Schizosaccharomyces pombe: one gene and its partners. Changing the gene in region 4 together with the main gene of any one other region gives a genetic interaction. Each region holds a gene or a part of one and is shown on either strand. Other genes may lie near its edges.

Region 1 (8,921 bases), 1.6 Mb from region 4:
AAGCCAGTCTTTAGGTTTGACTTGCGTTTCACTGTCTTGAACAAATCCAGATACCCGACGAAGTTCCGCAACCTGTGGACCATTAAACCATTCTACTAACGTTTTAACATCTTCTTCAGAGCCATTTAACAAACCAATTTCTTCCATTGCAAGACGCAGATCGCCCAAATCGCAACAGCTCCTCCTGCCAACTTCAGCTTTTGCCATAGCGGTTTCTGAAAGAAGTCTAATATACCGGATAGTAATATCAGTAAAAGAGTTTAATAATGAAACCTTCGTTCGGTCAATGCCAGCTGCGCGAAGTGTCTGAGAACAGAAAATCCTCATTAGCGAGAAATACAGCTCGTCAATTTGTGTTTCTTCCATCTCCGATAACTAGATAAATCGAACGATAGACTTATTAAAAGTCAAGTAATGTCTATACCAGCTCACAGTATAGTTTTTATGTTGCAGGGGACTTCCAACCTTTAAAGCTAGCTCATGGAATTGAATAAAGTGGAGACACAGCGCCTCGTTAGTCTTGCATAATGATACATACTACAAATTTTAAATAGATTTAATGGTTCACACAACATCGATATTGTATTTGTAAATTATCACATCGATTGAGACCCATTGAGCACAAAAACTCAAGTATCAATTTAATTACAAACCAAGTGTTTAAGAAGCCTTTATGCTGGAAATAAGACTGAAGTCGTCACAATAGAAACTGAGTTTGAATACTGAAATAATTTCATTTATTTCTCACGCTGGGAAGAACCACTATAAAAAAGGTGTTTTCGAAATTAGTGTGCCTACAGGTGGAAAACAGTTTTATTACTTACTCTACTATATTTCTTTCTTCCTGTTTCTTATCTAATGGCCTATCGAGACCGTACGGGTTTGTACATTACTTTTCGACAATCCTACTCTCATCATGGGCAACGATTGGAATTGTCGGGTTGGGACCCTAAAGAAGAACGGCAGAGTTTAGTCCATAAAGATAATAAAGATAACACTGTAATAGAGATGGACATGCTTGCCCCTAGATGGGTAACAGTTGAAGGAGAAATAGACAGTCTGCTGTTAAATACACGAAGAAATATTAATTTGCTTGATAAGCAATATGCTAAACATGTATTACCTAGCTTTTCCGACAAAACTGAGCAAGAGAATGAAATACAGAGATTAACCATTCAAATTACACAAGATTTCCAAAGGTGTCAGAAGCTTCTCCAAGTTACCAAAGCTCAAACAAACTCTGCAACAGGCTCAGAAGCTCTAATGGCTAAAAATTTCTTATCAAATTTAGCTAGCAGAATCCAAACTGAAAGTGCACAGTTTAGAAAAAAGCAATCTACTTATTTGAAGAGTATGTTATCCCGCGTTCTCCTTAACAAATGTACTGACCCCAAATTTTTTAGAACTTCGTGGTTTAAACGCCAACATATCTCCTGTAGAGTCAAAGCTCGACGAGACGGTATCCGACGTTGCAATTTCACAATCTACTATACAACAAGTTGCCTTAATGGAAGAACAAGGAGAAGACGAACAAGCTATACGACATGAAAGAGCTGTTGCCAAGATCGCTGAAGGCATTATTGAGCTAGCGCAGATGTTTCAAGACTTACAAGTGCTTGTTATTGAACAAGGAGCATTAGTAGATCGTATTGATTTCAATATTGAACAAACACAGGTTCATGCAAAATCTGCCGAAAAGGAGTTAATAAAAGCGGAGTCTCACCAAAAAAATACCGGGCGGCTTCGGTTTATATGTTTTCTAATACTTCTGATCGTTGCTTTAATTGTCATTTTGGCAATTAAACTGCTTCGGTAATTCATTTACCCTATTTCACTTTAATACCATGCTGCTAGTCATGAATGACCAATTTAATATTTTCTACGAAAAAGAAGGTTTTCTTTTTTTAATTTATGCTTAAATAAATCAGGTTTGTTTCTTTCTTTATTAAAAGACAACAGTTTTACATACAGATTAAATTTATGTACAATAAAACATCATTTTTTATAGTGAAATGATTAATAAAAATTTTCCCAAATCCAATAATGATACAATTTAGTTCACTTATTCTGTGAGTTCGCAGACGGTCTAGCTCTTGGAAGATGTTTTTTCTCTTTCTGAGCGCGTCTTCTTCTCTTTTTCTCAATGTATTTATCCAAAGCCTTTGTCCCTTCCATAGATTTATATTTATCCATCTGTATTAACTTCTTTTGTTCGTTCCTTTTCAAATAAAACGGTTTCTTCCCTTCTTTAACCCTTTCTTTTTCTTGAGCACGGAATTCATGCATGACACGTTCGGCCCTTTCCTCCTCGAGATGTCTCTCCATCTTAGAAAGTAAAGACTTTAAAGTTTGTCGAATACTCTCCGCCCGTTCTTGATCTTTGCAAATCTTCAATTCATCTCTTAATTGCTGGATTTCCGATACTCGGTATTCATTCAAAAAGCCGTAATTTTTTTTCACTTTATCTTTACTTAAGTTTCCCGATAAAGAGTCAAATCTGGGATCACGAGTAAATTTTTTTGGTTCAGATATTACTTCGCGAAAACGAGAAACTGGTTTTTTACTTGACAATTCTTGAGGGGCGTGTTTCTTTCTTTCGCCAAAAATTTTTTGTCAACTTTCTCAGTATGTTTCATATTTTTTCTGTCATTATCTTTGTTTTTTGCTGTTCTTTAAGCAGGTCCCTTTGAGCATTCAACAATGTATCAAACGGAATCTCAGCTAACTCTTCAAATTTGTGAGTAAATATTAATTAAGAAAATAAAAGAATTTTTAACATACGACTTTTAGCTGTTTTTGATTCGTTGTTTGAGTCTTCATCGTCTTCTGAATCTTCATTATTAAAGTTTTCAAATTCTTCTTCTGAGACCAATTCTTCGTCGCTATCTAGATCATCTTCGTAAACACCCGCATTAGCAAGAGTCCCATTTTCAAGTGAACTTGATTTCATTTTGGCGATTTGTGAATGTCTACTACATAAAAGTATAAAACCTCTCTACATAGAGTATTTACCGTAGCGCTAAATATAGCGTTAAATTTGTAAATGCTTTATACTATTTACTATTGAAAACTGCATATTGAAGCCTCGAAGGAACTTTGAAAATATTCGTAGTATGTATATATCATCAAAAGTTTGAATGCTTTATGAAAATTGAAAACGTTTTACGAAAGCTATTAGAAAATTGGTACAACATAAAAAAAAAATTTGGAATGGATCATGCCTATTAAATATTTTAAATAAATTTGAATGTTTCTATACGTAAAATATGACATTAGAAAAATTCATCTACATTTTCGTTCTCATTAGCGGGAGGATAATATTGAGGCAGCGGTCGAGTATGTACAAATTCTTCAGGTTCGTTGGAAACATAAGTGCTTGCACGCTGTAAGGAAGGAGGAACCACCGCTTGATTTCCAATAGTATGAGAACGGTTCCTCGTTCTTTGAGTTGTAAGCAGTGGTTTTTGTTTGTCAATGCAGTATTGACTGAAAGAGGCACCTGTGATAAAAGGATGATTTTTCGCCTGGTCAGGAGTCCATCTCTTCAAAGGATTTAACTCTAAAAACTGCTTTATGAAATCGATGAAACAAAGTCTCTCTTCATGTTCTTCAGGAGTAAGCTTAGGTGTGGTTTTTCGGCGAGGATAATTTAAAACAATAGCATCGAGTGTCTTTTCACCAAAATATTGTTTTCCAGGTTGCTCTGTTTTGTTGTTTTCGATAGAAAACTGTTCGATCGATTTAAGCTCATAAGTTTTTCTACCGTTTACAAAACCAGAATTGTAATATTTCTTCGAATTTTTACCCATTTCTAACATCCAAGTGGGAGGATTACCAAGCATGTCAACAATCCGACATAATTGATTATATTCGGAATTTCCAGGGAACAAGGGAAGACCTAAGAATAGTTCAGCTAAAATGCATCCCAAAGACCACATATCAATTCCACAGTTATAATGTAGTCCTAAAATTACTTCCGGACTGCGATAGAATCGCGATTGAATATAGGTATAAACTGTTTGGCGTTCGTGACAAGCACTACCAAAATCTATCACTTTCACAATCGGTGATGATAAATCCTGCAACAGGATATTTTCCGGCTTTAGATCACAATGTATGATTCGAGCTTGTTTGAGGAGAGATGTGCACGATAGAAGTTGCGTTGCGAAAGAACGAACAAGACTTAAATGTAAACCACGGAACTGATTTTGCTTGATAAGCTCATAAAGATTAATACTGAGTAACTCAAAAACGAGACACAAATGATTTTTATGCATAAATTGATCATATAAACGAATTAAATGGCGCTTGTCTTCTGGATCGTACTTATTGTTAAGGAGCTCTAGTATAGAAACCTCCATCACACATTGGTTATAAAATGCCGGCTTATTTTTGATAACTTTAATAGCTACAATTTGTTGGGTTTTAAGATCTTGGCATCTAGCAACTTGACCAAATGTGCCATGCCCCAGGGTGTCGAGAATCAAATATTTACGGCCTTCATCCGTTCCTAGCAAATCGTTAACATACAATACATAATCATGATTGACGTTATCAAAACCATGGTTGTGAACTCCTTCACTGGGTTTGGTGAGTGGTCTCCGAGGGTTTTGTTCGGAAGAAAACTGGAATTTTGGATTACAAATTGAATATGTATCAGCTAGTTTCACAGTCATTGCTTCTAAGGGCTATATGTTTAATTAGTAAAATGCAGAGCAAGTAAAAAATTTCGTACGCTAATATAGCTTCCATGGGGAGACACCCTTCTGTAATTGTATTTCTTGGTTGCCGGTTTGACAGGAGCAAACAAAGTTGTTCCAGAAGACGAGACATGACGAGCATGATTATTACGCTGCGAGTGATCATGAGTCCTCGCAGCAGGAGGATTGTTCGATAATGGAAGAATGGGCGAATCCGAATCCATATGAATAGAGACGCCTTTTTGTAAAGTATTGCAAAGAATATATCAGTATAGGCAGAATACGAGTGCCTTCATTCACACTCGAATCACTTTAAAGTAACGTAAAATAGTGATCTCTTGGAACGTGAGTCGATGCACAACAGTGCAAAAAGGAACCACAAGTTATACTATTTACAAAGTAGTAGTTGACAGATTAACCAAAGGAATCTAAAAAAGAAGTGCTTTAAAGGAAAAAAGTCAAAGAGTTTGAAATGAACGCACCAACCGGCTAATCAATTTAATGGAACAACTGACAAAGAGCTAGTTTCGCTTACGATAATCTCGATCTGGAACAAAGGGAAACACTTGTGGATATGAAGCTTAAAATATGAATTTGGAGGAATCTTCTAATTTTCTTGTTTATAGCGTGTAGCTACAAATACAAATATAATATTCGGCAGAAAATCGAAAATATTCACTAAAATAAGCCGATAAATATGCACAGTGCGAGTTGAACGAATAACTAATCAACTCCACCGTATAAATTACAAATTTATACGAAAAACAACACTGAGAGATTTCGCAATTTATTGAAAGATGAAGGATTTAACCAAAAAAAGCGGCTTGGTTAAAGGATAGAGAGGAATCTGAAGGAAAGGGATGACGACACACCGCTTTGTAGTGAGCCGCGTGTAACGGCGCTGACGATGACTGAAATAAAGTACAATTGCTTGCTATGCCTTAATCAGTTTTACTGATTTTCAATCTATTACGTAATAGAGTGTATCAATGAATTAAAAGGCCGTCATTAAAACTTTGGCTTGCAAAAAAATACAAGAAAAAGTTACTAGAAGAGGATCTTTTGATTCTTATATTATTAAATAGTTGGATCTTAGATCCCAATTAAATAATTAAATATTGTTTCAGGTTTCCGTGACATGACTTAAGAAGGCGATAATTTCGCTTACATTAAGGTTCCTGCTCTTACTCTCCACAACGAAATCAATTCGTATTTGAAAAGACGAATGAATTTGGTGCAAAACATCCGTCTATACCAATAACCGCGATAAATAAGAAACAACTTCCATTGAAAGGCTTATTCGAAACATCAAGCGCAATGTTTACCAATAGTACGCATCCTTAATTCAGAATAGTAGCAATTTTTCGAAAAAACGGATATTCTCCATACTTAGTATATTTGGATGTTGCACAACCATGTAACCGGTTGGATATTAAAAGGAGGAAAAACGTTTCTTGTTTGGCATCTATCTGTAAATGAAGGAGTCGTTGTTAAAACATTCTCCACGCCGACTACATTCGTACATAAAAATTTTCGCATAAACGACAAACGAAATGGTTCCTAGTCCAATGTTCACACAAAAATCTGTAGTGAATGGACGAATATTGGTTATTGACTTCAAACATCTAAGGAAACATAAATAGACGCAAGATATCAGAATCGAACTAGCTTATATGTAAAAATGTTCCTACCAACTAATGCTCCTACGTACTTCGCATGACACTAGATAACATAAATATTTCAAATTTTAGATCGCTAACAAAAATTACAAAGCACAATGATATTCATGAAAGATATATGTTGTTTAGCTTTGAACCTTTATTGAAACTGGGAGTTCATTTTATTTATGAAACAACCATACAACGTTATGAAGTAATATTTTTCTGAATCCAAAGCTGAAGACGTTTAGTCCGTGAAATTCAAACATCCATTTACAATTGTGGTACCAAAAAGTTTCCCAGTCTGGATTTCAAGATGGCTACAGAAACTGCAAATACGCCAAGACTCACGAAAATGGAAGAGTTTTCCTTATTGACGACTAAAAGATGTTAAATTAATAGTTTTACAGGGACATACCCTTTTTGAAAATATCTTTTTGAGCAGAAATGCGATCCATTTTTGACTAAGTGGTTGAAGGAACGTGGCTAAATACCGACTTGTAACGTAATTTAACATGACTGTGATCGCTGCCATAAACAGTGATCAGGTAAAATGTATGGCTTCAATAACCCTAATTGATAACCCTAAGAGCTAGCTGTATGGATTTTGTTTTGCAGTAGAGGAAACATTCTATACTGCAATAGTTTTTTAAGACAAAACGCTTTATATTTAGTTTACTTGGTCTTACGAAATAATCAAGAGTAGCGCTGCGGAAACAAATTTTTTCCTTTAAAATTTTCCATAATCATTATCTTTTTTAGTATTTTTTCATTTTTTTTTCGGGGGAGGGGTTAGAATAATTTAATTCATTTTCTTAACAAATGTACATCTCAAGAGCATCAATATTTAGACAATTAAAACTTTCAATAAATAAACGATTATTTTTTTCGGATTATTAATTGCTAAGCAGATAATTGCTTGCGACAAGGAAGCAAAGTGAGTATACACTTGGTTAGATGGAAAATATAATCACTTCCTCATAATTAAATTGTTCAGCGTATTTCATTCATCAAAAGTAATTCTATAAACAACCTGACGCTGATTATGTACAGTTTTTGTCCCGCAACTGCGTTAATGATTTCTGAGTGTATTTGTGATACGAAATTGCTTATAAAGAATCATGACATTCTATCAAGTCAAAATCGATAAACCCCATGCTTCTTAGTTTTCTAAACTTTCATTGCCGACAGTTTTGGATAAATTTATTAAATAACAAATTACGTTAATCCACTTTAACGGACACAAAATATTATTAACGATAACATACCTCTTTCAAAAAGGTGGAAGGGGGTCCTCACCCTTCCTTTGACTGCTGCACGAAAAAAAACTTGCCAACCACCAACATGTCGAGATTCTTCAAGGGAGGCTCTAGCGACAGCGATGCAGAATCCGTTGACTCCTCTGAAGAAAACCGTTTAACCTCTTCAAGGTTGAAGAAACAAGATGACTCTTCATCTGAAGAAGAATCAAGTGAAGAGGAAAGCGCATCCAGTTCGGAGTCCGAATCATCTGAAGAAGAGTCTGAAAGCGAAGAGTCAGAAGTAGAGGTTCCCAAGAAAAAGGCCGTGGCTGCTTCCGAAGACTCTGAATCTGACTCTGAAAGCTCAGAAGAGGAAGAAGAGACTGAATCCGAAGAGGATAGCGAAGTTTCTGATGAATCTGAGTCCGAGTCTGAGTCCGAGTCTGAGTCTGAGGAGGAATCTGAATCTGAAGAGGAATCTGATGAATCTGAACGTTCTGGCCCTTCTAGTTTCTTAAAGAAACCCGAAAAAGAAGAGGCCAAACCCGCTGGTCTTAAGTTTCTCCGTGGTGAAAGCAGCGAGGAAAGTAGTGATGAGGAAGAGGGTCGTCGTGTTGTTAAAAGTGCTAAAGATAAACGCTATGAAGAGTTTATTAGCTGCATGGAAACTATTAAAAACGCTATGAGTTCAAACAACTGGATTGTTGTTTCTAATGAATTTGATCATTTGAACAAAGTATCTCAAAAATGCAAAGAGGCCGGCAGAAATCCTCCTCCGTACATCGAATTCTTGTCTGCTCTTGATCAAAAACTCGAGTCCGCTGATAAGGCCTTTATCAAAAGTTTGGATGCTGCTAACGGCCGTGCGTTCAACGCTTTAAAACAGCGTGTTCGTAAAAACAACCGTCAGTTTCAAAGTGATATTGATAGATACCGTAAGGATCCTGAAGGTTTCATGAAGCCAGCAGAATTAAACGAAATTCCCAAGCCTGCCGGTAAGGCTGGGCAAGATGAAGTTATTGTTGATGGTGTAGCTACTCGTGGTATAGTTGCACCTACTGAGGGCTTAGGAAAACCAGAAGAAATTACACCTGCAGATATTTTCAAGTATCTCAGAGCTATTTTCGAAGCTCGCGGTAAGAAAAGCACTGACCGTTCTGAACAAATTCGTTTACTAGAAAAACTCTCGACTATAGCCGTAACTGATTATCAACGTCTTCGCGTTAAAGTTGCCCTATTGGCGGTTAGATTCGATATAAACACTGGCTCTGGACAATACATGCCTATTGATCAATGGAATGCCGCTCTTACTGAGTTACACA
Region 2 (7,597 bases), 320 kb from region 4:
CGAGTTTCACGAATGTTATAGTCATATCATGTTGTACAAAATCACGTATTATATTTATAGACAATCTAAACACCTTGCTACGGTGTTTTCTTTAAAATACCTACATATAATGTCAGCTTGAAAATAGATACAGATAATAAACTTACATTAGAGTACTACAGTTTCGACAAATATTTCGTTGGCAGCGATCACATGTAGAAAGATATAATACGTTATCACAAAATTCGCAAACACCGGTAGATGAAGGCAGATGGTCATTGTCAGTAACAAAATTAACCTTTTCATTTAAAACGATAGAAGAGGCATCATGGGCATTACTTTTTTTGCTTGCAAACAAACTAAGAAAAGATCTCACTTAGAAGCTTAGTAAAAAATCGCTAAATTCTTCACTTACTATCCAAATGATTTTTACACTTCTTTCTTGGTAACCTACTAGGAACATGTTCAGAACGACATCTTTTCATAGCTAAATCTCGGATACTTCGAGTTTCAAAAAAATGTGACACGTTGTTCTACCCTCTTAAAGCCTTATCGAGGTGTTGTTTTGTTTTTGTGGAACGCGGACTAGATGGCTAGTGCATGGTCTAATGGACTGTACAGGAATGGTCAAATAGGCGATACTTCTTGTCAAAATATAGCACTAAATGCATTTTTGAACCCTGTATATATTCGAAAAAAATACAAATCGTCCTTATTAATACATTTCGTAAGTCAAAATGAAATTGCTGAAATGAATGTGTTAAGGTAAAGCAAATATAGCTAGATTAAGGCTCATTTAAACTTAAATTGAGTAATATTTTCTTAATGTTTTTACATTTATCAGTAAGTGCTCCTTCGAAATGCCTTGTCCAGCTCATTGAAATTCATGGGTCATACCTTCAAAGGCTGAAGTATGAAATCAGGAAGGATTCACTGAAATAAAGAAGTCTTTCTGATGTCTGATTTGAGTATACGATAAACAAATGTGAATGTGCAGATATGAACAGTATAAACCATAGAAAGCCATGTCAAAGCCGAGGAGATACAGATGTTCTACATAGATTTGCAGACAATCCTCCTAGATATTCTATGAGAAAGGAGAGGAAACCTTGGTTTTGCAGCTTCTATATGGAAAGTACAGAGGGGTTGTCTTGCTTAACCAAAGTAAGAAAGAGGCAATCAGAGAAGATAGCCTACAGAAAATTATAATTCTCAATCAATTTATTTAAGGTAAAAACCTCTTATACTTCTGATTCTTTTAGTGCTGCTATTTAATCTGTAATTATACATTATGTCTCCATGTTTGACCAGACTGAACAATTCACAATTTAGTAGGATCTCAAATGTTATTCGGGAAATAGTTGATGGTATTGAACTATAGGATATTAATAAAGTTGTCACGTGTAGACGTATATTAACTTGTCAAAGATTGTTTGAACATTGTGAATAGCAAAATGGATTAGTTATTACAGTAGGCTTTTCAGTAGGTACACACGACGTAGACATATGTTTTAATAGATATTTTCCATCAAAAAGAATTAGGTCTATTAACACGCTCTTTTCTAATAGACCTCTTAAATGTCATTCACTTGAAGTTTGTACTTGTAAATCAAAACATTGGAAACCTGATAAATTGGACAGTTAATTAATTAATTATTCAATCCTTTTCATTATAGAAAACGTTTTTTCTGAATCTTTTTTGCTATAGTATACGCTGTGTTAGAATATGATTCAATTACTTAATAACGACTATATTTTGTAACAATAACTATAAATAATAAGAGTCATATTACTATAAGTATGTTATGTCGAAGGAAAATTACAAACAGTTTTACTTGATTGCAAAGGTGGACTATATATCTGAGACAATTAACTCTTAATGTATCATTTACCAGATATGGAGGAAACTGTAAATAAAATATTGCGAGCTCAAGAAACGAGAGCTCAGTTATACAAAGAACTGGAGGAGTAAGTATTTTCAAAGATATATAAATAAAATAGGTCTAACAAAGGTAGTGCTCTCAATGCAAATCAAGAGAAAAAAATTGGACTTGAGCAAATGGGCATAATTGTTCAACTGGTGACTGAAGGTTTAAATGAAGTTTCTTCTGATATTCGAAACTATCAAGCATCTCTTACTAAGGAGCTTAAACTATTGGTGGATTCTTTACAGGAAAAAGAGCGCTCTAAGCTACAAGCGGTAAATTTTTTTTCATAAATCTTTCTATGCAAGTTACTTACAATGTATAATATTTGCAGACCGTCAAACTTGAGCAGTTAAAAGTTGTTTCTACTAATTCACCAGTTGAGAATACGCAAATTTCAGAATTGGAAGCTAGGTAAATTGAAAATTGAATTATCCAGATATAACTAACAAATAATTATTAGACTTTCTTCACTTTCTAAAGAAATCAACGATATCTTACAAAATATGAAGGATGAAATATGAAGAAAATTGGTTTAATTACTATGGCATATCCAAGTTTTCTCTTTAGCAAGAGTAACATTATGAAGTATGATTCTGAATTTTCTTAAATTTAGAGAAAGTAAAAATTCTACATTAGAAATTTAGGGGACAGTCAGTTCAAAGGTCTCCTTTCTAATCATACTTGTAATTGAGATTGTAACATTCAGTGCAAAAGAAAAAAATGTTATTCGCGTTTTGAGCAAACCGGCAAGGTATGAATAGTATTCTTCAAGCCTTTAAATGTCAAAAACCCATCAATTTTAATTCCACCTGGTTGTTCGAAAACTAATTTCTTAGAGTTATCTTTAACACGTGCTTGAACTGTATTCCCTAGTTTAATTGAATTTGGAGGTGTTCTTTCTAAACCCGGAATTAACTACAATGACTGTCTCAAAATATATTTTCCCATATTAATAGCTTCCAATGTATTTACAGCTTTACCCTTTCGTCGAAGTCTTTGACAATAGAAATGCGAAGGAATAAATCGCTTGAGTAAGTAACTTATCATAGTTCAATTCACCTTATTGTTACATTGCAGTAAAATTGTTTTTGTTTTCTAAGTACACCTTACTTATCATCTAAAAATGGTGAGCAAGCATACGATGCATGCATTCAACTCTAGAAACTTAAACTACATATAAAACTAAAAGGTAACGTAATGGGTGAGAAGGCTGGAAAGCGTTCGAGTCTACCCTCACTTAGACTTAATTTTGTCGGACCACTCAAGCCATGAGCCAGTGTAGTTTCCAATACTAAAAGGTTAGTTTTTGAACACTGTTCTCGAAATTAAGTGGAATTGTTCACCTATACAAACATACTTTTTATAGCCGAGTTTGGTGAGAATGTCAGAAGCGGTCGTACTTCTTCTACCAGAGCGACAGTAAACTACAACGTTGTCCTCAAAAACGGGTTTGCTGAATCCATAAGTCTTGGAAAACTCCTCGTCACTAAGTTTCATGGCTTCCTCGATTTTTCCAACAGGTAAATTATAAGAAGTTTCGATTGCACCTTGCTTAAATTCATCGGGCTCACGAACGTCTGACATGTTAGCAGAATAAGTTTTAACTCACTATTGTATTGTCCTTACCAATTAAAACGGTGGATTTGTCGCCAGTTGGTCTTTTACTAAGGTTATAAACCTATTTCAAGTTAGTACCGTTAATAATTCCAAAATACTTGGAGAGTAGAGTAGCGAAGTGTAAAACTTAGCTTTAACCAGAAAACATCGCATATGAAAGCAAACGTATTCCTATGTTGGTTTACCTTTTCGAAATCAAAGATGCTGACATTCTTAACTACTGTAGAACTGTAGAAAGAGCGGGTCATCAGGAGGCGAGATACGGAAAGAGTTTTAGAAAACATTATGGGTGAAAACAAGGTTTATTACAGCTAGATGGCCCCTTTCAGCAGGCAGGTTAAATCTCAGATTCCCACAGTTGACGGTAGTGGTATAAGCGTGATCGGTGAGTAGTATGATTATATGAACGATCGCTATTACGAAATCGGCAGGTTTGAAGTGTTATAGGGGCTTGTGTTCAGAGGAATCAATAAATGAAATGGATCTTTGTATTTTCGAGATTTTTCAATAATATTTTTCTTTTTTAAAACGGTAGTTTTTAAAGTTACTATTCAAGAAAAGAGCGATTCATCCATCGGGAAAAATGAAGTTGCCGCATTTTCTATGTTTCACTTTTAAACAATTACATATTCAGTATATAAGTTCATAGAATAGAACTGTACGTACGTCTTTGGCACAGTTCTTTAAAATTGCGGATCTTTAATTGTGTATATTACTATATGGAGGTAGCATATGGATTTACCAAAAAGCATTTTATGGATAATTTGTTATTCATAAAATTATGTTTGTTGGAAATACACTGACAGAAACAAGCACTCTAATTTTCAATTGAGCTACAGTTGTTTGTTTTATCATTAGGAGAAAACAGGAATTCATACGACGCTGATTTATATAGATGTATACGTAAGTTTATTTATTTATTTTTTCTCGTCGGGCCTGAAATGCACTGTACTGTAATGTCATGGCATGCTTCAATGCTAATGTAATAGGAAAAAAATCACAGTACACAAATTTTTATGAGTGCTGATATTCTCGCAATGGAGAAACGCTAGGTTTAACGTAAGCATGATGTTTAAATTTGCCAGTACAATTAGAAAACAGGTTGTAAGTCCACCTTTGATATTAGGTCACAGTTCAAATCACTTTTGATTGTATTGCACATGATATTACGTTTACTAAGATTTCGCATCAATTTTAATATTGCAAGTTCTAAGGTAGCAGCATATTATTGAAAATTGAAATTTCAAATGGAAAAGTGATTCACATGCGTCCATTAAAATATAAAAAATAAAAAAAGAAATTTATATCTAGAATAAATTATTGTTTCTTTTAGCGGCAGAAAAACTAGTAGTAAAAATTTTATGCCAATAAATAAATATATAAAATAATGAACCTAAATAATCATATTGGCAATGTTTTCCAATTCAATCATCCGAAATGAATGATTGCAATGGATGAAGGAAAATAAAAACTTGTAAAAATGAAGGTCAGTAAGATTCAGTGTTTAAGATACCTCTCTGGTTTACAATCTTTTATGGACAAATATATGAACGGTTAATTCGATACAGTTCATCTGTTTCACTCGAATACTCAATATAATTTATTTACAATTCACCCATTAAATTAATATTTACCTTATTCATTCGCTTTCATTAATTTCATTCATTCACTTAGTCCCTTATTGTACCAACCTTGTCGCTCGGTACCGAATACAACAGTCGGCGGTTGATCATAGCTAACTAGTGCTAATAGCTAATTTCCTTAAGCAGACTTTTAATCCAACTGTGAATACCAATTACGTACTGTTTTGATTTAGTTAATATTTTCTTCCTCTTTTTTTTTTGCGCTTTTTTTCCATCGAAATCAAATATTATGAAGAATGACTTACTTCATAATTGCGATACCCGAAAACATCACTGATAAAGAGGGGATATCATATTAAAGAGTGAATACCGGTTAGGTCTTAGTTGATTCTTTGGATGTTGGATTGAGGTTTAGCTTGAAATGATGGTTGTCTTTCGTTTCAATTCACCTTTACAACATTTAATTTTTTTTTTAATGATCCATGATCACAATGCCATAATTTACGAAATCCTGGATTACGAGACTCCTGATCGAGCCGCAACTGCTGAATACAAGCGAACCTTGAATCGCAGGCGGATGAAGTATAAAGTTAACTCATATCAATTAAAGAGATTGCAAAGCGGCGGAACACCGTTCCCACGCTTCTAGTACTATGCGGAATGAATAAAAATATTAGGCGGAATGAATAGATTGTCGAGAATGGATTTCTCTCTCGAAATTACGTTCATTTCCTATACATCAGGGGATTATGACATAGAAACGTAAATGGATGTTCTCCGACAAAAAATAAAAAAAATATATTATATATAGAGATAGACGTGCGCCTTAATATATTTCCAATTTACTACGACTGACTAACTAACTAAATAACTGCGACTTTATTAAAAAAACATTAATAAAATGGATCCTGTTCCTAGCACACAAACTCAAAAATGGCCTGGCAAGCATGCCGACTTAGATCCTGAACCATCACTTCTCAGATATTGTGATGGACGGGTACATGTCGGATCAGGGAAACTTGCAGAGAAAAAGACATTGCTCACAGGAGGAGACTCTGGTATTGGTAAAGCAGCAGCGGTGATGTTTGCCAGAGAGGGATCTGATCTCGTTATATCATGCCTTCCAGAAGAAAGAGACGATGCAGAAGTTACGAGAGATTTAATTGAACGTGAAGGAAGAAATTGTTGGATATGGGAGGGAAAACTTGACAAGTCTGATAACTGTAGGGATTTGGTTGATTTTGCTCTAAAGAAGCTGGGTTGGATCGATGTATTGGTGAACAACATCGCATATCAACAGGTCGCTCAATCCATTGAAGATATCGACGATGAACAATGGGATCTCACTTTTAAAACGAACATCTTCTCCTTTTTCTGGGTCACCAAGGCCGCTATTTCGCATATGAAGAGCGGAAGTTCAATTGTCAATTGTTCCAGCATCAACGCTTATGTAGGACGACCTGATTTACTAGACTACACATCCACTAAGGGTGCCATTACCGCATTTACTCGGGGGTTGAGCAATCAATATGCGCAGCATGGTATTCGTGTGAATGCCGTTGCTCCTGGTCCCATCTACACACCTCTCGTTAGCTCCACATTTCCCAAGGAGAAGATTGAACTTTCTGACCAAGTTCCTCTTGGACGTATGGGACAGCCTGTTGAGGTTGCTTCTTGCTACCTTTTCCTTGCATGCTCAGATGGTGGTTACATGACAGGCCAAACTCTTCATCCTAACGGTGGAACTGTGATTAACAATTAAATTTTAAAGGAAGACGACGTTCATTTACTGTCGTCTATTACTTTTTTGGTTTGAAATGAATAATGCAGCAATTTAATTTTGCTGATCCGGATGATTGTTGAAGTTGTACTTTCATATACTTTTGAGATGTTCATTCTCATGAAGACAATGCATGATTTATGATAGCTATTTTGGTTCCAGTATATGGAAATGGATGAACAGTGAAGAAACCTTTTAATTTCCTCTATCTTTGCTTTCATAGCATGAAGAATGTTTATGATTTTATTTATACCTTTAGAATTACGGATATCTACGGTTATACACTGTAAACAGTGACTAACTAAAAATATTTTTTTGTCCTTAAGCTATTGTAAAACAAGTTTGTATGGTTCATAAATCATCTCTTATTTAGGCATTTAAATACTTGTATGAACTCCTTGAAATGCATTTGTGCAGGTAGGAAATCCATTCAAAATTTACATAGATACTCTTTTTCAACTGAGGAAAATATTATTATTTCCTTCCCCCTGCTTTGTAATTAATTCACTCTTCGTTGCTCTTTCATTAAAGACTAACTAACTTAGTATGAATCATTTGATTAAAAAAAAGTTGGAATACCAAATTGTTATTTTCTTCATATACTGCCATACACGTGCTTGTCAAAATGGTAGAAACAGAGTAACTAGAGAAGCATGAGTCATTTTCCAAGACAATGAGAGTAGAGTGTTGAAAAATATTTAACTATTCTA
Region 3 (9,422 bases), on a different chromosome or scaffold from region 4:
AATGAATATGAGAATGCTTGATACAGCCATGAAAGTGAAAGCGGATGCCGAGCATTTCCATCCCCATTGTTGATCACCTAAATGTGAACTCAATTTGTTTACACCTTTTAATAAAACCAAGCAAAAAATAGAACTTTTACAAAAAGCAAAAAACATGTTTCTCCACTTCTTTAAAAAGTGCTTGATTCCTTTTCCGCAAGCCTTGACACATTGTGCCAAGAAAATTACAGTTACTTTAACTGCCTTGGTCCAAATTTCATAGAAGTCTAATGAGTTAGTGACTGAAGGTAAGAATAACCCCATCGTCTCACTTACAAGTCAAGAATATTAAAGCCAAAGTGCAAACAAGACACCAAAATCCAAATAATGTCCATTCCGCTGCACCATAATTTTTAAAAAAAGCGTCCTTATACTTTAGATAACAAACTGCTGGAGCATTGAATAGAATGATTGAAGTGAATGATATTAGCAGTTTTATCAACAAAGGGGAAGAATTATCTGTCGACCTGGAAGGATTGTTTTCTCTATGTGTGTTAGGAGAATTGCTTAAACGTGCATGATCTGTTTAAATTAATATGATTGAAAGACTTTAGTTAAGAAAAAGCATGTATCAAAGTGTGTGCATTGCATGGCCAACTGTAAACAATGACCAAAGCATGCAATTTGACTACGATGGCAAGCTTCAACTTTCAATTGAATAATTCCTTTCTTATTATTTACAATTCTTACCTGAATATGGAGGCAATGTACTTTCCTCCTCTGAATCATATTCTGGGAGGGGTCCTTTTTCCAAATCAATTTCATGATCTGTCTTCAATTCATCTTCTTCATCTATAGAACTTTTCAAGGAAGTGTAATTATTCTTCGTTTCATCAAGATAATTCTTTATTTAACAAAACACATGCGCGAATTAATTGCTATGATTGCGACAAACGAAACAGCAAAATCAAGAATATTCACTCTGGAGTTCAGTTCCCGCCGTTCAACATAAATAAATGAGCAATAGTCGTTTCAAAGCAAACTGTTTTTTCAATAATAGCAAGTGAAAAGTAAAATTCCAAAACTCATTTTCAAAATGTAATTGCTTCTGACACATTTATTTTGTCACTGCCCTTCTTATTCACCCCAACTTAGATTTCCTTATGCATCATTAAGAAACTCAACATAAAACCAGTATATACGTTTACTGCGTTATTACATACTCACTATTGCAATATGTCTTTAGGTTATTACGATAACAAATCATCGTTCTGAGTCACAATATTTTATTATGCTATTCATTATTTCGTAAACATTGAAATTTGTTTGTATTAAAGTAAACCATTAAACAAATGGAAAAAATGATAATTAAGCTTGATTCATTAAGAATCAAGATGAAGGAGAAATGAATGCAATAAACGAAAATGAAATTGTGAATTTAACAAGGCGGAACAACGAGTTTTCCGATTTCATTAGTTGATTTTAAGTTGTCGTAAACAAGTTAAACCATTATTGTTTGTAGCGTAGAGTATCATTAAAAAAGACACATAATTAGACTCGCATACATAATAAATAAAGACTTCGGTCCTCAATGCACATTATCCAACATCGTAGAATGCATTGGTTGGCAATTTTTGGTAATTGAAAGAATGAGTTAAGCTTATATCTCACAAACTTATAAGGCAAGAGAATAATTAAAGTATGTTGGTGCTTATTTTTAAAAAACGCCGCAGCTTCTCTGCGTTGGTGATTTTGGTAAAGAGGTTTTCCAACTGGAGCGACAACCACATTAATAAAGCAATTAGACTTCGCTTTCAACATCCATTTCTCCCAAGGGAATGTCATTATTATCGTTGGCACCTCTAAACGCATTTCCTATCCGCCCAATTGCATTTCCTATCCCTCCAAATGCATTTCCTATCCCTCCAAATGCATTTCCTAAACCTCCTAGTCGGGTAAGTAAAAAATCATTCATACAGTTGGTTGAATACACATACCTAGGAAAGAAGCTATACCATTCCCGATAAATTTGGGCATCCTTTTGAGAGCACCTGGACGTTCTGGTATGGTTAGAGTAAATTACAGGAATATATAACGAACCCATTTCGTAAAAGAAAAGAAAATTTCCTATAACAAAGAGTGAAGAGGCTTCAATTTCGTAGCCTGTCGCGTCGATATGTTTATCAAATAAATACATCAAACCTTTCGTTACAATAACGACACAACTTTGTACACCCAGCACTTGAAACAAACCAAAAAGCATATGCTTGAGTGTCCAAATTGGAATACAAACTGTATGTTAGCGTTTAGCAAGATAATTTCACTTACCAAGCAATAAAATGAAAAATAAAGCAGCCGAAATACTGCATGTGGAACAGATGAGTGCCTTATTTAAGTTTAGTCTACCATCCTTGACGCAACCAAAGAGTATAAAACAAATGACTACCCATGCGAGCCAGATTGTAACCACCAAATCTTTTTTTGAGTTATACAAACCGACCGCAATTACCTTTACACATTTTGCCAAGAAAACTGCAGTCACCTTTACACATTGTGCCAAGAAAATTACAGTCACCTTTATACATTGTGCCACTGCCTGGGTCCAAGTTTCAAAGAAGCCTAATGAGTTAGTGAATGGACATATTAACAACTTCATGCATAGCTTACAGAAAATAACAATAAACACTATTGGACATGTTATACCAATTGTGACGGAGAAAGCTACCTTGCCGAATATCGACTTCTCCAACGGGTTTACACAAACCCATGCAGTAAAAAAGACAACAATAACTGCAAGAACTGATATTAGTAGTCTCAGAAGGGAATATATATTTGGATGTGAATCTTTGAATTCTTGTCTTCTTTCGACATTGGGATTTGCAATTTCTGTAGGTCCTGTACTTGAATCCTCAGATACAGTTTTAATATATTTCCAAATTTCTGAAAGCATTAATAAAATAAATAACTTTTGAAATTTGGTTTTTTTTTTTTAAAATGATGTAGAAGGAAGAAAGTGTGTGCCCTGTTAGACGAATTTATGCTCGTAATATGTCAAGTTGTAAACAAACAAATACAACAAAAACATTGTAAATCAAAACAAACAGACACAGCAAATAATCCTTGACACACTCAATTCTTTATCTTATCCACCAACAACACAACACTTACCTGAATATGGAGGCAATGTGCTCCCATCTTCTGAATTGTATTCTGGGAGAGGACCTTTTTCCAAATCAATTTCATTATCGTTTTTTGTACTCAATTCATCCATAGACGACCTCAAGGGATAATCTTTATTCTTCATTTCTTAGAAACAATCTATTATTGAATGATATACACACAAATAGTTCAATTGTTGTGATTGCGACAAACGAAACAGCGAAATCAAGAATATTCACTCTGTAGTCCAATTCCAACCACTTTAAAGACTTTTTAACAAAATAATAAAATTGTTCAAACAAATTTCCAACTAATTCCTTCAAACAATGGCATAAAAAAAGAAGAACGAAAAAACTGAACGAGGCAGTGGATTGCTTCTGACACATTTATTTTGTCACTGCCTTTTTTATTCACCCCAACTTAGCTTTCCTTAAATGTAAGCTACGCAGTTTGGTATCTGATTTACGGATACGTAGAACTGCGGTGAGGTTTTTAGTAATTTCAATATAGCGGTATGCGCCCTGTTAACTAACAATATTATATTTATTGTTATAAGAAGTCTAATAGTATCGAATACCAATATATCTAATAACTAAACTGAGGAATCGAGTCAGCAGTTGTTATCAACGGGTATTCATAATACGGTGGTTAGCGTGTGACATATAATGATACATAACGTAGTGAGTCATAAAACACGCTAAACAGATACCAAACTGCGTAGCTGACATGACACTGAATTTCTATCACTCTTTAACAACTACAGTGGAATATACAGTTAGAACGTACATTTTGCGTTGCTTTCACGAATCCCCAAAGTTTTAAAAAACAATGGCTATAAAAGTAGAGTTACTGTAGGTGTCATATTTTATTACAATTGGTAACCTATTATTGTAGAGGTGGGCTTGACTTGCTCTTCAATAAGCAGAAAGCGTTGTCGTTGTCACTTTCAAACCTTGGCTCAACTAAGTTGGGATCATTGATTGATTATATGGCTCAAATAATAGAAAAGCCTTCTCAAAAAGATTTATTTATTTTAAATGGGACTGTGTAAGTGAACATGGAGTGGTATCATCTTTTTCAGGCTCAAACGATGTTTTAAATGATTTTGCAGAACTAACACTTCCCTGCAGACGTCCGGGGATCATCGTCTTAGTAAATGACCAGGATTGGGAACTTCTTGAAAAGGAAGAATATAACCTCGAAGAAGGTGACGAAGTTGTATTCGTCTCAACGTTACACGGTAAAACAATATTTAGCATTTTTTTTATAATATTTAAAACTAATTGTATCAACTAGGAGGTTAAATGGCAGGTATAATTATAAGACAAAACAAACATGCACAAATATCATTAGTATTGAATTTTTTTTTTTAGTCATAAATCCGACATGTATGCTAAATTTTAGTGTCTTATGCTCTAGAGACCCAAAATCCAAATCACAATTAAATCATTCATCATGAACAGAAACCATAGACCAGGTTAAGGTTACTTGATTTCTCGGTATAATTTTTTCTTCGTTAGAGTTGAGTAATTATGATTCTTCGTCAGAGTCTAGTTGTATTGTACGAGTTCGCCGAGCTTGCCGACGTGGATAGCTTGCAGTGAATACCTCGGAATAGGGTTCAAGATCAAATCCTCTATTCTGGCTGGATGATTGTGAACTACGGAGGCCTGTTCCATTAGTTACAATATTTCCTTCATCCTCATCTGATGAGAATGGATGTTGCCTGGAATGAATATTGTTATGAGAAGGAGAATTATTTGAGGAAGAATTGAGAGAATCCAAACTTTCATTCTGAATGTCAGCAAGCTCTCTTCGTAACTCATCGTATCTTTGCCCATCGTTATAACAGGTCTCAGATCGAGATACCATATTCGTCCCTCCAGAGTCGCGCTCTTCATCGAAGCCGTTCATAATATCAATCTCTTCACTATCTGTGCTATCCAAAGCAGTAATACCATTTCCATTACTTCCATTGACAGGAGCTACGAAGTCATCGTCACTTTCGACAGGAGATAATTGGCTTGTAGCACGATTATCTATAAATCCATCATCAACATCGTACTCACCTGGACCAGAAAAATCAGATTCTAAATCAGACCCCACAAATTCTTCTCCTTCGTCAAATCTCAGCCAATCTTGTGGTACTGCAGTTATTGGCGCATGTCCCATATTATTAAATGCGCGGTTAGTCGAGATATTCCCACCACGGGTGTTATCGCCATTTAGGCTGGAATCACTCTCAGCATTTTCTCCATCCCAAAACCATTCACGACCAGAATCTTGGTCATCCGATATTTGAAAACCGCAATGATCGCAATGGTACGGATTTTCCAATTCCCATTGGCAACGAGCGCATCGTAAAACTCCATCTTCAGAATCAACAAGGATACTTCTTGGGTAATGAGAATCTTCTTGTTTAAACATCCCATCAAACAATACCTCCTTTTGCTTCTTTGCTGGATTTTCATTGATTCCCACAAGTGGGAAGCCACTGTTTGAGGCAGCAACCACATTCATTATTTCATATACAAGATATGCTGGTGAAGGTTGTGTATACAGTTTTTGGCGACAAGTTGGGCAAGATTTTGACTCTTTTAACCAATTTAGAAGACACTATTTATTAGTTTCAATCCTTTATAGAAAAAAAGTAAATCTAGAAACTTTTAAAGATATAATCTTGCTCTTTCAATATTTCACTCACAATGAGGGAATTCAATGATAATGAAAAGTTATTCCAGTGTTAAGCATCAAATTTTCACTTACCTCGTAACAATATGTATGACCGCAATGAGTGGTAAAAGGTCTTTGTAAAGCTTCTGTGCAAATGGGACATTCCAGAGTTTTTTTTATTTTCTGGAACGTTTCGAGCAAAGTTTTTGTATCGGGGATTTGTTTTTTATTTTCTGAATTACTGCTAATGCGAGACTTTTTGTACATTTGAGTTGCATCACTAGACGCAAAAGTTGTGCTGTTGGATTGTGGAATTAATAGAACCTCCATTTTCTCATCGTCCAAGTTATTATTATAATTTTCTTCATCGTCTTCATCCAAAACTACTTGGCGATGAGAACTGCGTTTAACCATTGCGCCCAGACAGATAAATTACTATTGAACTTGGTATGTGAGCTCTAACGTTTCTAATCCGGAGAGAAAGCTTTATCAAAATAATAAGTTTAAATAAAATCCTTTAAAAAAACGAATTATATGCAAATTCTTCAAAGCAAATCAACCATTGATTTGTACTTTATATATTTCTTGTAGATGGCAAATACTCTGCGTATTGCAATGCAGCGGTTTACAACTGCATTATCAAATTCTTCTGGTATTATCATAAATATCATTTAGTGACTTGTAGTCAGTGTAATCTCGGGCATATGTAAATTTATTTAACGTTACAAAATGCGATTGCGTTCAACAAGCATGGCTAATAGCGTTTTCTTGTAGCTTGGATTTTTATGAGGATTATTCACAGATACGCACCGATGGCATTTCACGTATAGTTTTAAGTATAATATTTTCAACCATAGCTTTCAATGTTTCACTCTAAGTAGAATTGAACGTCTCCCGACTTAACTCGTAAATATCGTTGATTACTTACCGGAAACCTTTTTTTGCATCGTTCTAACCAGGTAAATAAATTGAACGAATGCTATTCAAAAACATTCAAGGATTAAATAACATATCAACAATTAGATACTACGCTTATTTACTGTTCAGCATACCTTTCTACTCAATGTCTACAATTCGCAATACACAAAACGATATGTAATAGCACATTAGAAATAAGGAACTGTTTAATTTTTGTTAATCCTTAACGAAAAAACTATCAGCATTTAACTAAATTATCTGTTTACATTATTATTAAAATTATAATGCAATCCCTGCCAGTTCCTCATCAACGCCTTTCCATAGTAATAAGGACCGGGCCACTCATAAAAACATTACCAGTTAAAAAGCATGCACACCAACTTAATATTAATATCTCTAACAGAAAGGACGGAACAGTTTGAATAACAACGACAAAGGAAATGCAAATAAAAAATAACTCTCAAAGTTGGCACAGCCAAAATCCAATTATACAATTCGATTTTAATGAAGGATGAATCAGCAAAAAACACATACTCATTAAAAAGAAATAACATTTAAAAACTACCGATTCGTGTAAACCGAAAGCATTGCCATTTTCGGTCAACAAACTTATGCGTAGCGATCTTGTTCATCAACATAGTTAGACTCAGGCTTAGCACGGCCTTCAGAAGAAGAGGTAGAAGATGTAATGTCGTTACTCGAAGTATCCTCCATACCCTCATTGTCAACGTTTTCAAGATGAGCGGCACTTTCACCTTGAACACCACGAGATTTTTCAAGAACCTCTTGTTGTTGCTTTGCAGCTTGTCCGAGATTCTCGGGCCTAGGCATCCAGGGCTTAGCGCCGGAGAGATACAGTTCGTTAATCTCTTCCAAGGTAAGACCTTTGGTTTCATGGGCAAACAAGAAAATAATACAAGCAGCACACAAATTACAGGCAGCGAAAATATAACCATACTTGAATCCAATGGAGTCACTAATGAAGGGAGTAAAGAAAGTAATAAGGAAACCCCACAACCAGTTACCAGTGGTAGCGACGGCAGCACACTTGGAACGATAACGAATGGGATACGATTCACCAACGATAACGTATGCGGCAGGACCCCAAGTTTGAGCAAAACTGAAAATGAAAAGACATGAGAACACAATCATAACGGCACCGGCACGATGGTTTGAGGTACCATTCTTACGAGTAAGAGCACGATTACCAACAGCTGCGTAAATGAAGAAAGTAATGGATTGCCAAACACCACCAATAATCAATGGCATACGACGACCAAAGAACTCTAGGACGAAAAGACCACCAAACGTACATCCAAAGTTAACGGCATCAAGAATCAAAGCAGAAAGATAAGGAGAGTTCATACCAGTACCCTCAAACACCTCGAAACCATAGTAGAAGTAGTAGTTATCACCGGTAAGTTGTTGAAGAGACATGACACCAAGACCAAGGAAGGTACGATAACGAATATCCGCACCTAGAATGTCACCCCAAGTAGCGGGACCACCGGCCATTTCAGCTTCACAGTCAGTTTTAATGACATGGTATTCCGTTTGAATAATTTCGTGTTCACGAGGAAGAACGTTGTTTTTGCACATAATGTCAAGAGCCTCTTCATCTTTACCAATAGCAATCAAATAACGAGGGGATTCAGGAAGGAAAGAAATACCGATGAACATGATAATACCCCAAAGCAAGTTAATACCCATGGATACACGCCATTGAGCAGTCTTGTGCAACTTGTGAGTACCCATGTTGATACAAGCGGCAATGAAAATACCACCAGTGACAGCCAATTGATAGGTGGTGACAATGGTACCACGAAGGGTAGCGGGAGCAACCTCAGATTGGAAACCGGGGGCAAGCACAGACAAGGCACCAATGGCAAGACCAGTCCAAATCTTAGCAACCATGATTTGGACCCAAGATGGGACAGCGGTAACTTGAAGAATAATACCAATCAAATAAACAATAGTCCAAAACATAATGGAAACACGCTTGCCAATGCGATCCATAAGAGGAGAAGACAAAATACAACCAGTCATAGAACCAACGTTAACCATACCAGTAATTAAACCTTGTCGCGCTGAAGAATACGAATACGTGTCAGTCACCGGATTATACCGATCTGCGAAACGAGATTGGAAATCTCTCATGTTGGTGATACCACCAATGGAACCGGTATCGGCGCCAAACATCCATCCGGCCATGGACACGAAGACCAACATGACAATGGTCAATGTCTTACCCATTTTAAGTAAATTCGAATACTAAAAATATAGGGCACAAAAAATAATATGTAATGATGTGATTGAAACTTTATTAAATAATAAACGTTTCAAAATCTATTTTAAAAAGATGAGATTTCACAAAGCTCTATGTTGCAAAAGTGAAGTATGTAGTATTAATGTAAAGGGAATGTGGATAATATGAACCAGCGAAATTAAATAGAAAAGAATAGAGGTTTTTTAAAGGATTAAATAACCGCAAAAGGATGAGGGAAGGGGTGTATGAAAATGTGATTAATGGATATGCTAGAGCGTTCCAAACAAGAAAAACGAAGACGCTTTAAAAAATAAAAGAGTGGGTTAAAAAAAAGGAAAGCCGAAGGAACTGAAACCCCGTCGAACAAAAGTTAAATTAACCGTAAACCACAGATTTTACTAAGTAAAACGTACAATTTGGAGCAGAA
Region 4 (5,963 bases):
TCTAGGTACTTTTTATATTTTTTTTACAAGTTTTCAATTTTAGATTTAGCATACCTAACTAAGGAAATTTATACCGATCAAACATGCGTCCTCGTCAAAGATTTCGTCGTTTTCATCCTCGTTGGTCAAAAGTTAACCTTCGAGGCTTCGGTGGTGTCGGCGCTTTGAAAGGTGTTAAGGCCCTAAATGGAATGAACGTACGCGTTTCCATGAGATTAAAATGGATCTCAAATCGTATCCATCGCATTCGCAGGAGTCGCCGCTTGGGGCGCCTTTCTATAAGTGTCCGTCCTAATGGTTCCTGGCAGGTATATTTATTAAGCTCTCTTCCATTAAGGAGCCTTTCTCGTGTCTGGGGACAATTTAACAGAGCTCATTTACCTACTTTTTTGCGTACACCCGGATTTAAACTATATGCTTGGGTTTTTGGATGCAATTTAAGCGAATTGAAGGATCCTGATTTGACTCATTACCGTAATTTTCAAGATTTCTTTTGCCGTGAGCTTCGTCCAGAGACTAGACCCGTTGATCCTGTTTCTCCTGTCGTATCACCGGTAGATGGCCGTATCGTTTGTCAGGGAGTTGTCGATAATAATCGAATTCAGCATGTCAAAGGTCTTTCTTACTCTCTTGAAGCTCTTTTAGGAGGTATATCAAGTTCGAATCCTTTAGTCGTCAACTTTGAGGATGAAATAACTCCTGATCTTATTCAAAAGCACGAGCAATTTGCTGAACAACACTCAATTTCCTTAAATTCTAATAACCGCTATCGTAAAGCTGATGCTTCAGCTGCCGTTGTGGATGAACATTCTGACGAGGAAGCACTTCTTTGTGCTTTTACTGACCATCCGCATTTTTATCTTAATGACTCTCGTAATTCCTTAAATTATTTCTGTCCCTTTTCTGCCTTTGAAGATATTTCAAATTCCGTTCGTAGCTCATGCGGAAAACGACTCTCTCCCTCAAGCAATTTCGATCTGAATAACCTTGGAGGTGACGATGACTTGAGGAGTGAGTCATCTAGTGATTTTGAATCTGCTCCTGCTTCAATTCTTGAACACGAACCAACTAACTGGGATGATTGGGTACAAGAAGCTGACGTTACGGACATTGACTCATTACCTTGGCACAATATCCGTCCTGGCAATAAGCTGTTTTACTCTGTGATTTACTTAGCACCAGGTGACTATCATAGATTTCACTCTCCTGCTGATTGGGTTATTGAATCTAGGCGTCACTTTTCAGGTGAACTCTTTAGTGTTTCTCCATTTTTGGCGCGAAGACTACACAACCTTTTTGTGTTGAATGAACGCGTAGCATTATTGGGTCGTTACGAACATGGATTTATGAGTATGATTCCTGTAGGTGCAACCAATGTGGGTAGCATTGTCATTAATTGTGATCCTACTTTATCTACCAATCGCCTCGTCTTACGGAAGAAGTCATTAGGTACGTTTCAAGAAGCAGTTTACAAGAACGCTTCTCCTGTTTTAGACGGTATGCCAGTTAGTCGTGGCGAACAAGTTGGTGGGTTTCAACTCGGAAGTACCGTTGTTTTGGTATTCGAAGCACCTGCCGACTTTGAGTTTTCCACTTATCAAGGCCAATATGTTCGTGTTGGAGAGGCCCTCTAAACAGGATAAATCGGGATAATTTTTATTAATCGCTGGATTATCCCTGATATAAGTTATTGTTAGTATGAGAATGTGTGTATTCTAAATAATCATTTGTATGTGATGAATTAATTAAATTAACCCATTTGCTTTTGATCTTCTTTTTATTTAAATTGATATTGCGTTTATAAACCCATAATTATAGTTACTATTTACTTAATTACATTCCAATTTAAAGAATTGACACCCAATAAATTTATTTTATTGATACACCTTTAAAGTAGTAATGAAAATGTTTAAAAATAAGTATGGTTAGCTTGTTTTGACATAAGGTGGCATGTCTTCTTTTCAAAATTCGTAATTGATAATCATTACATATATACTAATATTTTGTTTATTCACAATCCAAAATTTGGACCTTAAAATTCATTAATAGATTGCTTTTAGATTAGAATATGAAATTGGAAGATGGTAGACGACTTAACGGACAAGAATTACTCTTTGGAAACATTTTGGACATTATAATAAAGGGCTCTGAATCCAAATACTTCTTGATTTGCGTGATAAACTTCATGAAGGTTTGAATCATCAACAGACCAGCCTAAGCTGGCAAATTTATTAACAGTTGGCAATAACAAGGGCTCAATTGAATCTTTCAAAACATTATTAAGAACTTCCAAATCTTTGGTTGTTCTTTGAGATGAAGGACTTGTGAGCCATACAGAGCAACGAGTCGATACCAAATCGTGAAGTGTCGGAATCCACGATGAAGAATAAAGTGGATGACTTATAAGAGGCATCGGAAGAAAAAAAGTATCATAGTAGGGGTCAAAAGGCTCAAAGGCTCCAACTCTATGCAAATTGTGGTAGTAATCCTGATGAAAATGAAGGCTGAGTGGGGAAGGCAAATTGGGTTGCTTAGAAGGAACAACAACTTCAGGTCCGATAAAATGCAATTGAAATAAACGACCTGGGAACAAAAAGTTCAATCCTTGTAACCAAATTGATGGTGGTAATGAACATTCTTTGGTAGCACCCAAAACGAAAATTCTAGTGGGTCTGGGATCAGTAGATTGAGCAGACAAAGGACGATGAAGCATATATCGTAGAGCAGTTAATGATTGTAGACCCTGGGGAGTTAACCCATTTTTTAAATTATAAGGAGAATTCTTGTGAAGGATAGCGCCGATTGACATGGGATATGTTAATAAACTAGTAATATGTCTAGCAGTTCTAGACGATTGGAACTTTGGGAAATCGCGGGTATAGAAGAATGAATCCCATGACAGAAGAGAAACTACTTCATCTTCTTCCATGGGTCCAGGAAGTTTGAGTAGTTCCGGCAAAGGGTTTGGTCGTGCTAAGTCATGATAGTCTTCATTAATTTGGCGTAGTTTTGGGATAAGGGATTGGTGAATCTTGTCCTGTTCCCAATGAGTTCTATTACAATGAGTAGGAAATCCAGATTCAGGACACTCATATTCCACTGACTTTCCCGAAATTGGACACCGATAGACTTGTTTGATATGCTCAGAGCGACGGCGAAGAGCCGTTAAGGGAGAACGCGATAAAGGATGGAATAATTCATGAGTTGGGGATTTCTTCTTGAAGAGATTTTTTAAAAACGACATAAGTAAAAAAAATATAAGCGAAACGTCACTCTTGAACCAAAAAACAACCTTCTACCGGTTTCAATGTAACTATAGGTAATGAAATAAATTTTTATGTCGGTGTTGCAGCTAAATTTAACAAGTATTGATTTAGGTGAACGTGTTTAGTAGCAGACGAAGAAACTAAAATTAAAAATGTCAAGGAACATAAAAAATACGTTAACAAGGCAAACTATTGAAATGCTTAGTAAAAAAAATTAACAAATTAGTTCGTAGAAGCAATTGCTTTGTTCATTAGCAACCGACATTCAGTAGCGAATTTTATTCTTTAAAAAAATATTAAGTATTGAGTTGACTCAACAAAGAGGTGATTTTCAATAATGTTGATATTAAAGAACTATCTAGTAAATCAATTGCATAACGGGAAATGCACTTTCTTTATTGGAAGTCTACAATGCAACTATAAGGAATACGAATCATCTCGAAAGTAGCTGTGTTAATCTAAGCTTCTATAATTTTCATTGCTCGTAATGTAAAGTGAACTCAATATTTTAGTAACAGTTCCAGCTGGCCCAACAAGACTGCAAACTGACCATACAGAATCCCAAAGCTGTTGTACTAATGAGCAACTAAAAATATATCTGATAAATTCTCAATGTTACATAGATGATTTATAACTTTACTGCGAAAATGTCTGCCTCTTATGACAAGCAAGTCATTAATTATCAGAGCCTTGCGAACCTATTCGTCTGCCACCTGACCTCGTCAAAGGCAGTAATTAAATTGGCAATATAATTCAGGCAAGATTTTTCAATTTTCTAAAATCCTTCGAATGCCCGCCTCCAAATATGCTGGATGGTCTCGAGACCAGCTAATATCCAGAATTTTAGAATTGGACGGGAAATTGCAAAAAAATACAAATTCACTTCCCAATAAAGAAATTGAGGGGAAAAATGAAGTAATTAAAAATAAAAACAAATTGGATAATGGAAATGAAATAGAACCCCAGCATCTGAGCCAAGAACTAGTTTTGCAACATGCGCTTCAGGACGCAAGTAGTCTTCCAAAACTGAAACCTGTCAGACCGTTTCAACTAGAAAAAACAGTTTTTGTTGCTTTTAAATTTGCCTATTGTGGTTGGAATTACAATGGTCTTGCCTACCAGTTAGAACCGACTCCTTTGCCCACTGTTGAAGGAAAGGTGTTTGAAGCGCTGTTGAGAGCTCATCTCATCACTGATCCTTCATCATGTTCCTTTAGTCGATGTGGACGTACTGATAAGGGAGTTTCAGCCATGGGTCAGGTTATATCATTAAATGTACGACATTCAGAAAGAAGACCTATCATATATTGTGATGTATTGAATCGCCTGTTGCCCGCAGATATACGTATTACTGGCTATGCATTTCCACCAGAAGGCTTTGATGCTCGATTTTCCTGTAAACAGCGTCATTATAAATACTTGTTTACTAAGGATTATCCCGGTGGTTCTCTTGACATTGATCGAATGAATGAAGCCGCAGCACTTTATCTAGGTGAGCATGACTTTCGAAATTTTTGCAAAATAGATGCTTCTAAACAAATTACAAATTATCACCGTCGAATTCTCAGTTCAAAGGTTATTTGCATTGATCCCAGTACCGGTCTTTACGCTTTTGACCTACAAGGAACTGCATTTTTATGGCATCAGGTACGATGTATGATGGCCATTCTATTTTTAATTGGTCAAAAGCTTGAGCCGGCCTCTCTCATCAATGATCTTTTGGATATTAAAAAGGTCCCTACTAAGCCAATTTATGATATGGCAAGTGAGTATCCTTTGATTTTGTACGACTGTGACTTTGATAATATTGAATGGACACTACCTACGGATAGTCCTACGACTGCTCCTCGTATCGCTAAACATACATATGAAACCATATATCATCAGTGGCATAGTCTACGTATTCGAGAGCAGATAGCTTCGTTTATGCTTGACATAGCAGATCATAATGTAAAAAGATATGGCAAATCGGAAGAGTCAAGCAGTACTATGAACGTTGGTGAAGGATTGCTGAAGCGAACAAAAAAGTACATCCCAATTCTTTCTAGACAACGTCAGGAATCAGTGGAGGTCGTCAATGAAAGATATAAACGTAAAAAAGGTTTAAAAGACAGTGACGTGAAGAGTGAAAATATTAAATAGATTGTCTTATGACAGAACAGGTTTTAGGTTAATTGCTAATTTTATTTTGGTCCAAAATATATTATCAATTTTAGTATAACCTTCTTAAATAATTAGTTGTAAGTAAGACTTATGATGTACTAAAATTATTTTGCTTTAAAAAGGTATTCCTTGTGTATGTAAGGGACAAGGGTTTCCGGAACTTTAACAGTGCCATCCTCTTGTTGGTGATTTTCAAGGATAGCTATTATTAACCTAGGGATGGCAGCTGCTGTGCCGTTCAGTGTGTGAACAAAACCCGAGTCTTTGTCATTTCGATATCGTGTGAGTAGACGCCTAGCTTGGTATTCAAGACAATTAGATGCTGAAGTTATCTCCCCGTATGATTGTCGCGCTGGCATCCACGCTTCGATGTCATATTTTTGAGAGGCCGAAGATCCCAATTCCGCAGTTGGCATATTCAAAATTCTATATTCGTTAGCATTAGATCATTAAAGTGGTATTTTTGTTAGATTTGATATGTACCTTGCGGGTATTTTTAAAGTTTCTACAAACTCTTTTTGAAAATTAACAATC

The links.
Region 1: mutations in deg1 (region 4) and ppk15 together harm fitness less than expected from each alone (positive genetic interaction), as found in Schizosaccharomyces pombe (one large-scale study listed by BioGRID).
Region 2: mutations in deg1 (region 4) and rdl2 together harm fitness more than expected from each alone (negative genetic interaction), as found in Schizosaccharomyces pombe (one large-scale study listed by BioGRID).
Region 3: mutations in deg1 (region 4) and urm1 together harm fitness more than expected from each alone (negative genetic interaction), as found in Schizosaccharomyces pombe (one large-scale study listed by BioGRID).

Annotation. Positions count from the first base shown.
Region 1 is NC_003424.3:2,581,758-2,590,678, reverse strand, and holds ppk15 (serine/threonine protein kinase Ppk15), read right to left. Parts: upstream 5,507-8,921; 5' UTR 4,925-5,506; coding exon 4,736-4,924; intron 4,689-4,735; coding exon 3,273-4,688; 3' UTR 3,205-3,272; downstream 1-3,204. Other genes in the region: transcription factor TFIID complex subunit Taf3, read right to left, coding at 1-366; SNARE protein Tlg2, read left to right, coding at 859-1,351, 1,404-1,816; tom6 (uncharacterized protein), read right to left, coding at 6,632-6,738, 6,777-6,816; tif303 (translation initiation factor eIF3c), read left to right, coding at 7,703-8,921.
Region 2 is NC_003424.3:3,835,573-3,843,169, forward strand, and holds rdl2 (thiosulfate sulfurtransferase Rdl2), read right to left. Parts: upstream 3,899-7,597; 5' UTR 3,809-3,898; coding exon 3,710-3,808; exon of another isoform or gene 3,586-3,709; coding exon 3,534-3,585; exon of another isoform or gene 3,485-3,533; coding exon 3,265-3,484; exon of another isoform or gene 3,199-3,264; coding exon 3,141-3,198; 3' UTR 3,088-3,140; downstream 1-3,087. Other genes in the region: srs2 (UvrD subfamily ATP-dependent DNA helicase), read left to right, coding at 1-21; SPOM_SPAC4H3.16 (uncharacterized protein), read right to left, coding at 55-100, 147-354, 395-464; SPOM_SPAC4H3.06 (uncharacterized protein), read left to right, coding at 1,877-1,947, 1,996-2,179, 2,239-2,318, 2,368-2,428; SPOM_SPAC4H3.08 (3-hydroxyacyl-CoA dehydrogenase), read left to right, coding at 6,009-6,869.
Region 3 is NC_003421.2:219,419-228,840, forward strand, and holds urm1 (ubiquitin-like protein modifier Urm1), read left to right. Parts: upstream 1-3,915; 5' UTR 3,916-3,966; coding exon 3,967-3,989; exon of another isoform or gene 3,990-4,032; coding exon 4,033-4,185; exon of another isoform or gene 4,186-4,268; coding exon 4,269-4,378; exon of another isoform or gene 4,379-4,434; coding exon 4,435-4,442; 3' UTR 4,443-4,668; coding exon of another isoform or gene 4,669-5,754; 3' UTR 5,755-5,904; coding exon of another isoform or gene 5,905-6,225; 3' UTR 6,226-6,341; downstream 6,342-9,422. Other genes in the region: wtf meiotic drive antidote Wtf4, read right to left, coding at 1,781-1,926, 1,977-2,039, 2,080-2,271, 2,308-2,598, 2,647-2,919, 3,148-3,283; ubiquitin-protein ligase E3 Dbl5, read right to left, coding at 4,669-5,754, 5,905-6,225; hexose transporter Ght8, read right to left, coding at 7,339-8,982. UniProt on the Schizosaccharomyces pombe protein: Acts as a sulfur carrier required for 2-thiolation of mcm(5)S(2)U at tRNA wobble positions of cytosolic tRNA(Lys), tRNA(Glu) and tRNA(Gln).
Region 4 is NC_003424.3:4,158,745-4,164,707, forward strand, and holds deg1 (tRNA-pseudouridine synthase), read left to right. Parts: upstream 1-3,974; 5' UTR 3,975-4,055; coding exon 4,056-5,408; 3' UTR 5,409-5,463; downstream 5,464-5,963. Other genes in the region: phosphatidylserine decarboxylase Psd2, read left to right, coding at 84-1,634; splicing suppressor Mss51, read right to left, coding at 2,108-3,244; dia4 (serine--tRNA (Ser) ligase), read right to left, coding at 5,534-5,855, 5,913-5,963.